Linked DNA regions of Saccharomyces cerevisiae S288C. Each later gene encodes a partner of the first gene's protein in a complex. Each region holds a gene or a part of one and is shown on either strand. Other genes may lie near its edges. The genes, in order: RSA4, NSA2 and REA1. A codon is read from its position in the direction of its gene.

What was found.
Region 2: the proteins of RSA4 (region 1) and NSA2 are in contact, whole or in part, in a crystal structure (PDB 4WJV), measured with the Saccharomyces cerevisiae proteins. Residues at the interface, in NP_009997.2 of Saccharomyces cerevisiae: Ser144 (codon at 2,229), Thr145 (codon at 2,232), Leu147 (codon at 2,238), Gly164 (codon at 2,289), Trp188 (codon at 2,361), Leu190 (codon at 2,367), Trp231 (codon at 2,490), Ile232 (codon at 2,493), Thr233 (codon at 2,496), Lys256 (codon at 2,565), Trp322 (codon at 2,763), Asn324 (codon at 2,769), Asp379 (codon at 2,934), Leu404 (codon at 3,009), Asn406 (codon at 3,015), Phe422 (codon at 3,063), Tyr448 (codon at 3,141), Gln449 (codon at 3,144), Tyr490 (codon at 3,267), Lys506 (codon at 3,315); in NP_011052.1 of Saccharomyces cerevisiae: Asp85 (codon at 1,126), Ala86 (codon at 1,123), Leu87 (codon at 1,120), Pro88 (codon at 1,117), Thr89 (codon at 1,114), Tyr90 (codon at 1,111), Leu91 (codon at 1,108), Leu92 (codon at 1,105), Asp93 (codon at 1,102), Arg94 (codon at 1,099).
Region 3: the proteins of RSA4 (region 1) and REA1 are in contact, whole or in part, in a cryo-EM structure (PDB 6YLF), measured with the Saccharomyces cerevisiae proteins. Residues at the interface, in NP_009997.2 of Saccharomyces cerevisiae: Leu29 (codon at 1,884), Pro30 (codon at 1,887), Asn31 (codon at 1,890), Ala48 (codon at 1,941), Leu49 (codon at 1,944), Arg50 (codon at 1,947), Val51 (codon at 1,950), Pro52 (codon at 1,953), Pro108 (codon at 2,121); in NP_013207.1 of Saccharomyces cerevisiae: Glu4778, Thr4779, Cys4817, Glu4818, Asp4853, Met4854, Ser4855, Gln4856, Val4857.

The regions. Positions count from the first base shown.
Region 1 is NC_001135.5:240,209-244,151, reverse strand, and holds RSA4 (Rsa4p), read left to right. Parts: upstream 1-1,799; coding exon 1,800-3,347; downstream 3,348-3,943. Other genes in the region: mitogen-activated protein kinase kinase kinase SSK22, read left to right, coding at 1-1,564; mitochondrial 54S ribosomal protein mL49 IMG2, read left to right, coding at 3,609-3,943. UniProt on the Saccharomyces cerevisiae protein: Involved in ribosome biogenesis. Required for processing and efficient intra-nuclear transport of pre-60S ribosomal subunits.
Region 2 is NC_001137.3:412,802-415,890, forward strand, and holds NSA2 (rRNA-processing protein NSA2), read right to left. Parts: upstream 1,379-3,089; coding exon 593-1,378; downstream 1-592. Other genes in the region: small subunit rRNA maturation protein LCP5, read left to right, coding at 1,680-2,753; VFA1 (Vfa1p), read left to right, coding at 3,058-3,089. UniProt on the Saccharomyces cerevisiae protein: Involved in the biogenesis of the 60S ribosomal subunit. May play a part in the quality control of pre-60S particles. Under normal, rapid growth conditions, high levels of NSA2 would allow the progression of pre-60S particles through the ITS2 processing.
Region 3 is NC_001144.5:360,641-365,536, reverse strand, and holds the start of REA1 (AAA family ATPase midasin), read left to right. Parts: upstream 1-1,798; coding exon 1,799-4,896. Other genes in the region: REX3 (RNA exonuclease), read right to left, coding at 207-1,421. UniProt on the Saccharomyces cerevisiae protein: Nuclear chaperone required for maturation and nuclear export of pre-60S ribosome subunits.

The DNA.
Region 1 (3,943 bases):
CTCCCTACAAAAAATCAATAAGGCATATTACAAACTTACTTATACAGTATTGAACAACTACAAAGGAATTCTAGGTAGCTTTATGAAGCAATGTCCGGGAAATGAGTTGTTAAATTCGATATTCATGTTTGGAAGGGATTTTGGAAGAAGTTTCCTTAAATATAACGCCTTTAGCTCAAAGAGGAAGTACGTTATCATCTTTCTGATGGTTAAATTAGGAATGAACTGGTTGAAATTCCTTGTTGAAGAGTGTGATCCTACCGATCAGCGAACTTTCCGATGGTGCGTTCTTGCAATGGATTTTGCGATGCAGATGACTAGTGGTTATAATATCCTGGCGCTGAATGTAAAGCAATTTCAAGAACTGAAGGAGAGGGTATCAGTATGTATGTCATTATTAATTTCACATTTCGACGTTATGGGTGCACGAGCCACTGAAGCTGAAAATGGCATGCAACAGGCAAGATTGAATATTGATACTGAAGAGAATATTGATGAAGAGGCCACCCTAGAAATAAACAGCAGGTTGAGACTGGAAGCTATAAAGACGTTGGAAAAGACTATGAAGAGGAATCCCAGGCAAATGGGTAAGGTATTGGATGCTACAGATCAGGGAAACAAATACCTACTATCGCTAGCATCCTCATTATCGAATGTATCAATGAGGTGGCAAAAAAGAAGCTTCATTGGCGGTGGAACATTTGGACAGGTATACTCTGCAATTAATCTGGAAAACGGTGAAATCTTAGCTGTTAAGGAAATAAAGATACACGATACCACAACAATGAAGAAGATTTTTCCCCTGATTAAAGAAGAGATGACCGTATTGGAAATGTTAAACCATCCTAATATTGTCCAGTACTATGGTGTCGAAGTACATCGCGATAAAGTTAACATCTTCATGGAATACTGTGAGGGTGGTTCTTTAGCCTCGTTATTGGATCATGGAAGAATTGAAGATGAAATGGTAACACAAGTGTACACATTCGAACTATTAGAAGGTTTGGCATATTTGCACCAATCTGGCGTGGTGCATCGCGACATTAAACCGGAGAATATCTTGCTGGATTTCAATGGAATCATAAAATATGTGGATTTTGGTACGGCACGTACCGTTGTAGGATCTAGGACTAGAACTGTGCGGAACGCAGCCGTTCAAGATTTTGGAGTAGAAACAAAGTCCCTCAATGAAATGATGGGGACACCGATGTATATGGCTCCAGAGACTATTTCAGGCTCGGCAGTTAAGGGAAAACTTGGAGCGGACGATGTATGGGCATTAGGATGTGTTGTGCTAGAAATGGCCACAGGTAGACGACCTTGGTCTAACTTGGATAATGAATGGGCCATCATGTACCACGTTGCTGCAGGTCGAATACCGCAACTACCCAATAGAGACGAAATGACTGCAGCGGGAAGAGCCTTCTTGGAAAGGTGTTTGGTTCAAGACCCCACTATGAGGGCTACTGCTGTGGAACTACTGATAGACCCTTGGATGATACAAATCCGTGAAATAGCATTTGGCAACTCAGAGAAAGATCAAGTACCTATCCTAAGCTCATAGAGTGGTCAACGTCTAAAAATATGATATACTACGATATATAATGTAATGTAATTCAATAATGGTGATGAAGGCAAGATTTCATTTAGAGCTGTTACCCGAGAAACCGGTGAAAAATTTTAAAATGAAAAAAAAAAAAAAAATGCGATGAGCTTCAAAAAGAGTATCTTTAAAAGACATATATCACAAGATTTTTATATTTGTAACCTCGATAAACACACACTAACACAATATACAGATGTCCACCCTGATTCCTCCACCTTCTAAGAAACAAAAGAAAGAGGCTCAACTTCCCAGAGAAGTAGCTATTATTCCGAAAGATTTACCCAATGTTTCAATCAAGTTCCAAGCTTTAGATACTGGTGACAATGTAGGTGGCGCCCTGAGAGTTCCCGGTGCTATCTCCGAGAAACAGTTAGAAGAACTTTTAAATCAATTGAACGGTACTTCAGACGATCCAGTGCCATATACCTTCAGCTGTACAATTCAAGGTAAGAAGGCCAGTGACCCTGTGAAGACGATTGATATAACAGATAACCTATATTCTTCATTAATAAAACCAGGCTATAACAGTACAGAAGATCAGATCACGCTACTGTATACGCCAAGAGCAGTTTTCAAAGTCAAGCCGGTAACTAGAAGTTCATCAGCCATTGCAGGTCACGGTTCCACAATTTTGTGTTCTGCCTTCGCACCACATACGAGTTCTAGGATGGTAACCGGTGCAGGTGATAATACTGCAAGGATTTGGGACTGTGACACCCAAACGCCAATGCATACTCTAAAGGGTCACTACAATTGGGTTCTCTGCGTTTCCTGGTCCCCCGATGGAGAAGTAATTGCTACGGGATCCATGGACAATACCATAAGATTATGGGACCCAAAAAGCGGTCAGTGTCTAGGTGATGCTCTCAGAGGTCATTCCAAGTGGATCACTTCTTTAAGTTGGGAACCTATACATCTTGTGAAGCCGGGCTCCAAACCAAGATTAGCTTCATCTTCTAAGGATGGTACTATTAAGATTTGGGACACTGTGAGCAGAGTTTGCCAGTATACGATGAGTGGTCACACAAATTCAGTGTCTTGTGTCAAATGGGGCGGCCAAGGTCTATTGTATAGTGGCTCTCACGATAGAACCGTACGTGTATGGGACATCAATTCGCAGGGCAGATGTATCAACATTTTGAAGTCGCATGCGCACTGGGTTAATCACTTATCTTTATCTACAGATTACGCATTGCGCATTGGTGCATTCGATCATACAGGTAAGAAGCCTTCTACACCAGAAGAAGCCCAGAAAAAGGCATTGGAAAATTATGAAAAAATCTGTAAAAAGAATGGAAATTCAGAAGAAATGATGGTTACTGCAAGCGATGATTATACCATGTTTTTATGGAACCCACTAAAATCTACCAAGCCTATAGCAAGAATGACCGGTCACCAAAAATTAGTCAATCATGTGGCGTTCAGCCCTGATGGTAGGTATATTGTCTCAGCGTCTTTTGATAACTCTATCAAACTTTGGGACGGTAGAGATGGTAAGTTTATCTCCACATTTAGAGGGCATGTAGCCAGCGTATACCAGGTTGCGTGGTCATCGGACTGCCGACTACTGGTGTCATGTTCCAAAGATACCACGTTGAAAGTGTGGGATGTAAGAACTAGAAAACTTTCTGTTGACCTCCCTGGTCATAAAGACGAAGTTTATACCGTCGACTGGAGTGTCGACGGTAAAAGAGTGTGTAGTGGTGGGAAAGACAAGATGGTAAGATTGTGGACGCATTGAGTTATGTGCAAAGACAAGTAACATACATGCACATATAAATATTATATAACTGTGATATAGAACTGCATTTTTTTCTTTTTGAATATTAAATATGATGGTGTCGCAAGGTCGATCTATAATGGTCATCGCGTACGAATGGCTTGGTATGAATTTAAAATATGGTACTATAAGCAGTATAGCTCCAGCAAGAAGGAAAACCTTTTGAAAGAAGTGCCCGTTTACCTAAAGCAACTTACTCCAAGGTAGCGTGTGAGCAAAACTATGATCAGTTCGTGTGTTACTAGATGTTTTGGTAGGGGTAAATGCCTTCCAGGGCCTGCCACTGCCTCGATATACCAAACGATAAGATGTATATCCACTAATTCAAATAAAGCTGCTGAGGCGCCAATATTTCCAAAGCTGGAAGACGTGAAGATGCATGAGCTCATAGGAAACAACAATTTTGGTAAAAAGACCTACTACGTGGAGAGAAGCAGGACCGGAAATCTACCGGTGTATTCCGCTTATAAAAATGGAGGTAACAAGATTATCACGGAGATCAGAAAGATTGAAGGAGATGTAATTCAACTAAGAAATGACTTGCAGGAGCAACTGCC
Region 2 (3,089 bases), on another chromosome or scaffold:
CAAAGAAAATGCAGGAAAACGTGAAGTGCTTTTTTTGATGATTACGCAAAGTTCTTTTCAAGTTCGCCATAAGAGGAGGTTTTCCTTTTCAAAAGGAGCATGATACCAATAATTTATATTGCCTTACGCCTCTTATTTTTTATATCCTCTTTTTAGATTTTATTAATTTTTTTTTTTATTTATATACATATAATGTGCCCTGCTTTTTACAACCATACGTTTTTTGTTTTTTAATTTTCTTGCATTTTAAAACTGAATAGTGACCTGGGTATTATACTACAGTTGAAATTGCTCTCGTGAGGTACATACTTGAAACGAGCGTACTAGGCAATCCCTCTCTTGCCAGTCACCTACACACGGAGAGTATCGGTTATTTGTCGTGAGGAAAAAAGAACCGGATAATAAATTCTTGATTTGTTATATTGTACAGAGAATGACGAGAAGTAAAAAGAGAAACCCGAACAGGACAGAGCGTACATTTTTTATATACCTGTTCTTTTGTGCTTGTAGACGTATATCGTATTATTAAATTAAAAGTAAACCTAATTTGAACCATCGAGATAAAAAAAAAAAAAACGGAGCACTTTTTTGCTCATACAAGCAAAACCGCATTGACACAGCCGTCTCTGTCTGGTTCGTTTGTGACCTGAGCATACTTACCCCAGACAACTTTACCACCAGCAGTAACCATCCCCAATTCCGAAACGTTAACTTCAATAATGGTACCTTTAGTCAAAACACCTAACTGAGTGTACATTGGAGATTGTGGATTCTTCTTAACTGCCAAAATTGGCAAGAAGACAGTTACACCTAATTCCGGATGAGTGACGTTTGCCTTTTTCTGTCTCAACGCACTTGGTCTGATGATTCTTTCCATTTTAACTGGTCTTCTAGTGAAACCTTCACCCACAAAAGTGTGTTTCGTTATCATTCTCTTCCATGACTTGGATCTAGATTTACCTGTTTTAATAACTTTGAACATTTCTTCTTCACTTATACCACGAACCTTTGGTAACGGAACTGAAAACTTATCAGCTTTTTCCAACCTCTTTTGTTTGATCGATGAAGAAATAGCTTTGGCTGTGTTATTTTGTTCTCTGTCCAATAGATATGTCGGCAAAGCATCACCATCGGTATCCAATGGTTTGGATGAACCCTTGACCTTAGATTGTTCATGTGCCTTAATCTTCTTTCTCATTGATACCTTTTCAGCATATCTCTTCTTAGCAAATTGCTTACCCTTCCAACCAGTCAACTTCTGGGCCCGTTCAGAAATCTTATGAGACTCTCTTGCCTCTCTCTTACGTTTCCTTTCTTCGTGATCTAATCTTTTACCATGCTGTTTGATGTGACGCTCGATATAATCGTTTTGAGGCATTGTTTCGTTGTATATATCAGTATTGATACGAGACTGACTACTGACTAAAGATAAAAACGCCAGATACGAAAACCAAGTTCTTCTCTAACTGATACCTAATCCATTCAATTGTCTTAAAAGTGCATCTCATCGCTGTCCGGAAAATTTTTCATCGGATTGTTACTAGAACCGTTGCCGACGACATAAAATTTTTTACGCCTTTCCTGCAAGGTTGAAGAAAAGAAACCGATGAGCTATACCATTCTAAAGTGTCAAAAGAGATGAAGAAATTAAAATTGTCAACTAACACACAAATCCAAGAATGTCTGAACTTAATGCATTATTAAAAGATATCAACGGCTCGCTCACTGCGACATCAGAATCCTTGGAGAGGTTGTCTGGGATTTATAGTAATTCTGCGACCGATGAGATTCCTGAAAGTAACCAACTACATGAGCATCTATTTTACGACGCTAAGAAGCCTGCTGAGAAAGTATCGCTGCTATCCTTAAAAAATGGGAGCATGCTAGGGTACATAAATTCTCTATTGATGCTTATAGGCAATAGGCTAGACGACGAGTGCAAAGATCCTTCTGCTATGGATGCACGTGAACGCTCTATTCAACACCGTGTGGTATTAGAGCGTGGTGTTAAACCACTAGAAAAAAAGTTGGCTTACCAATTGGACAAGCTGACTAGAGCATATGTGAAAATGGAAAAGGAATATAAAGACGCTGAGAAGCGTGCACTGGAAAAATCTACCTTAGTGAATCATAGCGGCAACGACGATAGCGAAGATGATGAGTCTAGTGAGGATGAAATAGCATACAGGCCAAATACCTCTGGAATTATCAACACAAATAAAAAATCATCAGCATACAGGGTGGAGGAAACGGCTAAGCAAGAAAACGGGGAAGAAAACGATGACAATGAGACTGGCGTGTATAAACCACCAAAGATTACGGCTGTTCTACCACCGCAACAAACGCATTTTGAAGATAGATTCGATGCCAGAGAACACAAAGATCGTAGTAACAAATCGCGTATGCAAGCCATGGAAGAATATATTAGAGAGTCATCGGACCAACCGGACTGGAGTGCATCTATTGGTGCTGACATTGTGAACCATGGAAGAGGCGGTATCAAATCTTTGAGAGACACAGAGAAGGAACGTAGAGTCACTTCATTCGAAGAAGATAATTTTACCAGATTGAATATTACAAATAAAGCTGAAAAAAGGAAGCAAAAGCAACGAGAAAGAAATGCAAGGATGAACGTTATCGGTGGTGAAGATTTTGGTATATTCAGCTCAAAGAGGAAGCTGGAAGATAGCACTTCGAGACGTGGGGCCAAGAAGACTCGTTCTGCCTGGGATAGAGCTCAAAGGAGACTGTAGATACAAAAAGTTTATTTTCTTATATCCTAAAGCGTTTATAGACTTAATATTTAAAAGTTAAATATAAATGAAGGGCACTGGTATATAAGCTATTAAAAACAAGAATTTTGGCTTTCACGACATTAACGTGTGAGAGGTTTAGGCACCATTGCCTTTATGATTATTAGTCCCTCCAGAATAAACTCTACCTTTTTTTTTCTTTTTTTTTTTTATAGTCCTAAGCAGAACATGACTAAATCGCCATAAATTAACAATATAGTGGGAATAAGGCACACCAGAAGTGCCACGATATAGTATATATACAATGATAAATGAGTACGTTGCCAGAAAGGTCGC
Region 3 (4,896 bases), on another chromosome or scaffold:
TCCTGAACCCAATTTCACGATATTTTAATATTCAGATATTGAAAAGGTGCATTATTATTGTTCGCTTAAATACAGAAAATAGGAAAGCAATACGAAATCATTACTTTTATCATGTTGTTTCTTAACGTAATTACTTAATAAAACTCATGTGAACCGTATGAAATGTAATAACTATATATGTCTGCTCAACTTTGAATATGATCACATTATTTTTCCCACTTGTTTTGACTTGGAGAAATACCTATTTTGACTTTAACAACGTCCATCGTTGCTATTGCATCTTGAGAACTATCATGCTCGCCATTTTGGATTTTTCTACTCAAAACTTCAAACGCTAAGTTCTTCAAAGAAACCTTAAACTTTGTTCTTGAATAAAGTATTGCAGTATCTATAACCTTATTATGAAATAGCCTCATGACGTTCAGATCGTTCTCTAGTCCGTGCCCTATAAGAATACTATTTTTATTTATTAAGTTTTCGGATAAAAAAACATCAAGTGCCTCCTTGTACGTCGGGCAATTGGTTCGGTCAATCTCATGGACACCACTGAAGTCTGAATTCAGATCGACAATATCCCCTATTGGCTGAATTACATGATCAAATAGTGTCTTGCCGGTGAAAAAATCCACAATTGTTAAACGTATCATCTCATAGCCCAATGATGTAAAAGCCATTTCACAGTCAAGAGAAAGAACATTCTCAACACCATCAATGTCATCTGTACTAGAAAACTTCGAAATTTTGCATAACTCGTCATATGATTCTCCTCTAAACACATGGTGAAAAAACGTCTTGCATCCTAGCCTTAGAAAAGAAACGGAATCAGTAGTTTCACCACAGCATGGATACTGATGGTTCTTGGTATCTCTGTTGTATATTCTTTTCAAAGGGTGATACCTACATAGAGTCTTTTCCATGATGTCTGTTTTTTTGAAATTTGAGCTGCAACGCAAACAAGGTGCATACAGTTGCGTACTATTGTCATCATTAGTTTTATTTTGCATTTCCTTAACAATATACCCATTTTTCTCTAAGACCTTCGAATCCAAAATCAGAGCCTTTAAAGCTTCCATCGCTTTTGATTTTGTAGTGATAGAGTTTGCATTACCAATTGAGGATAAATGAGGCTTAGCTCCTTTAAGGGGGCGCCCATTAATTTTGATCTTCGAGAGATCTCCTTTATATTTAAGCACATCCCGCAGTAAAATGCTCATGTTAAACTTGTAACTCTGACCAGACAAGCTGTTTTTAGCAACATGGACTTCTAAGCGAGTGGCAAGTCTTTCAAGGTCAATATTAGTTCCTTTTGTGTGTGCATATGCCTTTTGTAGCTGCTTGAATAATTTCTGCAAAATTTTATATCTTTCTTGGAATCCAAGCGGTTGATTTACCAGATCAACCGGTCTCAACAAACTTCCCATACTAAAGCTTTCTCTTGATATATAGTCAAACTGAATGTATACTGAAACACATATTCAAGGCATTGATTTTAAATGCACTTGAACCGTTATTCCATTTCTTTTTCTACTCATCATTTATTGTCGCCCTTTACGAGGTATTTTTTCTTTTTCGAGTGAAAAATTTTAAAGAAGCGATGAGCTAAGGTCTATTTAGCTTTATGAAAAGAAAACATTATATCACTTACTGCTTTACTTTAGACATTCCTCTCCAAAGTGATTATTTTAAAGATTCAAAGTACCTCTGAGTTAATTTGACATCGAATTCTACTCTTATTATTTTAAGGTACCTCTACTTTACGCGGTCACATTATTTTTAAAACCGTTATAATCTGCTGAGAATGTCCCAGGATAGAATTTTGTTAGATTTAGACGTAGTTAACCAAAGGTTAATTCTCTTCAATTCTGCTTTTCCCTCTGATGCTATTGAAGCGCCCTTCCACTTTAGCAACAAGGAATCAACTTCTGAGAATTTAGACAATTTAGCAGGAACTATACTACATAGCCGTTCCATCACTGGTCATGTTTTCCTTTACAAACATATTTTTTTAGAGATAGTGGCACGTTGGATAAAGGACTCCAAAAAAAAAGATTACGTTCTTGTAATTGAAAAGTTGGCAAGTATAATTACAATATTTCCCGTTGCAATGCCATTAATTGAAGACTATTTAGATAAAGAGAATGATCATTTCATCACTATTCTTCAAAATCCATCCACACAAAAGGATTCCGACATGTTTAAAATACTATTAGCATACTATAGGTTACTATATCACAATAAAGAAGTATTTGCACGCTTCATTCAACCCGACATTTTATACCAACTTGTGGATTTACTCACCAAAGAACAAGAAAATCAGGTTGTTATATTTCTAGCATTAAAGGTTTTATCTTTATACTTAGACATGGGAGAAAAAACATTAAACGATATGCTCGACACTTATATAAAATCACGCGATTCATTGTTGGGCCATTTTGAGGGCGATTCTGGAATTGATTACAGCTTCCTCGAACTGAACGAAGCTAAGAGATGTGCAAATTTCTCTAAACTACCCAGTGTTCCAGAATGTTTCACTATAGAAAAAAAATCTAGCTACTTCATTATTGAGCCTCAGGATTTGAGTACTAAGGTCGCGTCAATCTGTGGCGTTATCGTCCCTAAGGTCCACACTATCCACGACAAAGTATTCTACCCATTAACCTTTGTCCCTACTCATAAAACGGTTTCCTCTCTTCGTCAACTCGGGAGAAAGATTCAAAATTCAACTCCAATAATGCTCATTGGAAAAGCGGGATCCGGTAAAACCTTTTTAATCAATGAGCTAAGTAAATATATGGGTTGCCATGACTCCATTGTGAAAATTCATTTAGGTGAACAAACTGATGCCAAGTTACTGATTGGTACTTATACCTCTGGTGACAAGCCAGGCACGTTTGAATGGAGAGCTGGTGTTCTCGCTACCGCGGTCAAAGAAGGGAGATGGGTACTTATAGAAGACATAGATAAAGCTCCTACAGATGTTTTATCAATACTTTTATCGCTTTTAGAAAAGCGCGAACTAACCATTCCATCCAGAGGAGAGACTGTAAAGGCTGCAAATGGTTTCCAGTTAATATCAACTGTTAGAATAAACGAAGATCATCAGAAGGATAGTTCCAATAAGATCTATAACTTGAATATGATTGGTATGAGAATCTGGAATGTTATTGAATTAGAGGAACCTAGCGAAGAGGATTTGACACACATTTTAGCCCAAAAGTTTCCCATTTTGACCAACCTTATCCCCAAACTAATCGATTCATACAAAAACGTCAAAAGTATTTATATGAACACCAAGTTCATTTCATTGAACAAGGGGGCACACACAAGAGTTGTATCTGTAAGAGATTTAATTAAGCTGTGCGAAAGGTTAGACATCCTATTCAAAAACAATGGCATCAACAAACCTGACCAACTAATCCAGTCTTCTGTCTACGACAGTATTTTCTCCGAAGCCGCCGACTGTTTCGCTGGCGCTATTGGAGAATTCAAAGCTTTGGAACCTATTATACAAGCAATCGGCGAGTCATTAGACATTGCTTCCTCAAGGATTTCGTTATTTTTGACCCAACATGTGCCCACTTTGGAAAACCTTGATGATAGCATTAAAATTGGAAGAGCCGTATTACTTAAGGAAAAGCTAAATATACAAAAAAAATCAATGAACAGCACATTGTTCGCATTTACGAATCATTCTTTAAGACTAATGGAACAGATTTCTGTTTGTATACAGATGACTGAACCTGTTTTACTAGTCGGTGAAACGGGTACCGGGAAAACTACAGTCGTTCAACAACTTGCTAAGATGTTAGCAAAAAAATTAACGGTAATCAATGTTTCACAACAAACAGAAACTGGTGATCTTCTTGGTGGGTACAAACCCGTAAATTCTAAAACAGTTGCAGTTCCTATACAAGAAAATTTTGAAACTCTTTTTAATGCTACATTTTCCTTAAAGAAGAACGAGAAGTTTCACAAGATGCTACATAGGTGCTTCAACAAGAATCAATGGAAGAACGTTGTTAAACTTTGGAACGAAGCGTACAAAATGGCTCAAAGCATATTAAAAATTACAAACACTGAAAATGAAAACGAAAATGCAAAGAAGAAGAAAAGAAGACTCAATACTCATGAAAAAAAATTGTTACTTGACAAATGGGCTGACTTCAATGACTCAGTGAAGAAGTTTGAGGCCCAGTCTAGCTCTATTGAAAACTCGTTTGTCTTCAATTTTGTCGAGGGTTCTTTGGTAAAGACTATCAGGGCTGGGGAGTGGCTATTGCTCGATGAAGTGAATTTAGCAACCGCAGATACCTTAGAAAGTATTTCTGACCTTCTCACCGAGCCTGATTCTCGTAGTATTCTTCTTTCAGAAAAGGGTGACGCTGAGCCTATAAAAGCTCACCCCGATTTTAGAATATTTGCTTGTATGAACCCCGCTACTGATGTTGGTAAAAGAGACTTACCTATGGGTATCAGATCAAGATTTACCGAAATATATGTACATTCTCCGGAACGTGATATTACTGATTTGCTTTCCATAATTGATAAATATATTGGAAAGTACAGCGTCAGCGATGAATGGGTAGGAAATGACATCGCTGAACTTTACCTTGAAGCCAAAAAACTCTCCGATAACAATACTATAGTTGATGGCTCAAACCAAAAACCACACTTTAGTATCCGTACCCTGACGCGTACATTGCTTTATGTTACTGATATTATTCATATCTACGGTCTACGCCGTTCCCTGTATGATGGATTCTGTATGAGTTTTTTGACTTTACTGGACCAAAAATCTGAGGCCATTCTGAAGCCAGTAATAGAAAAATTCACATTGGGGAGGCTAAAAAATGTCAAGTCAATCATGTCACAGACACCTCCCTCTCCAGGACCAGA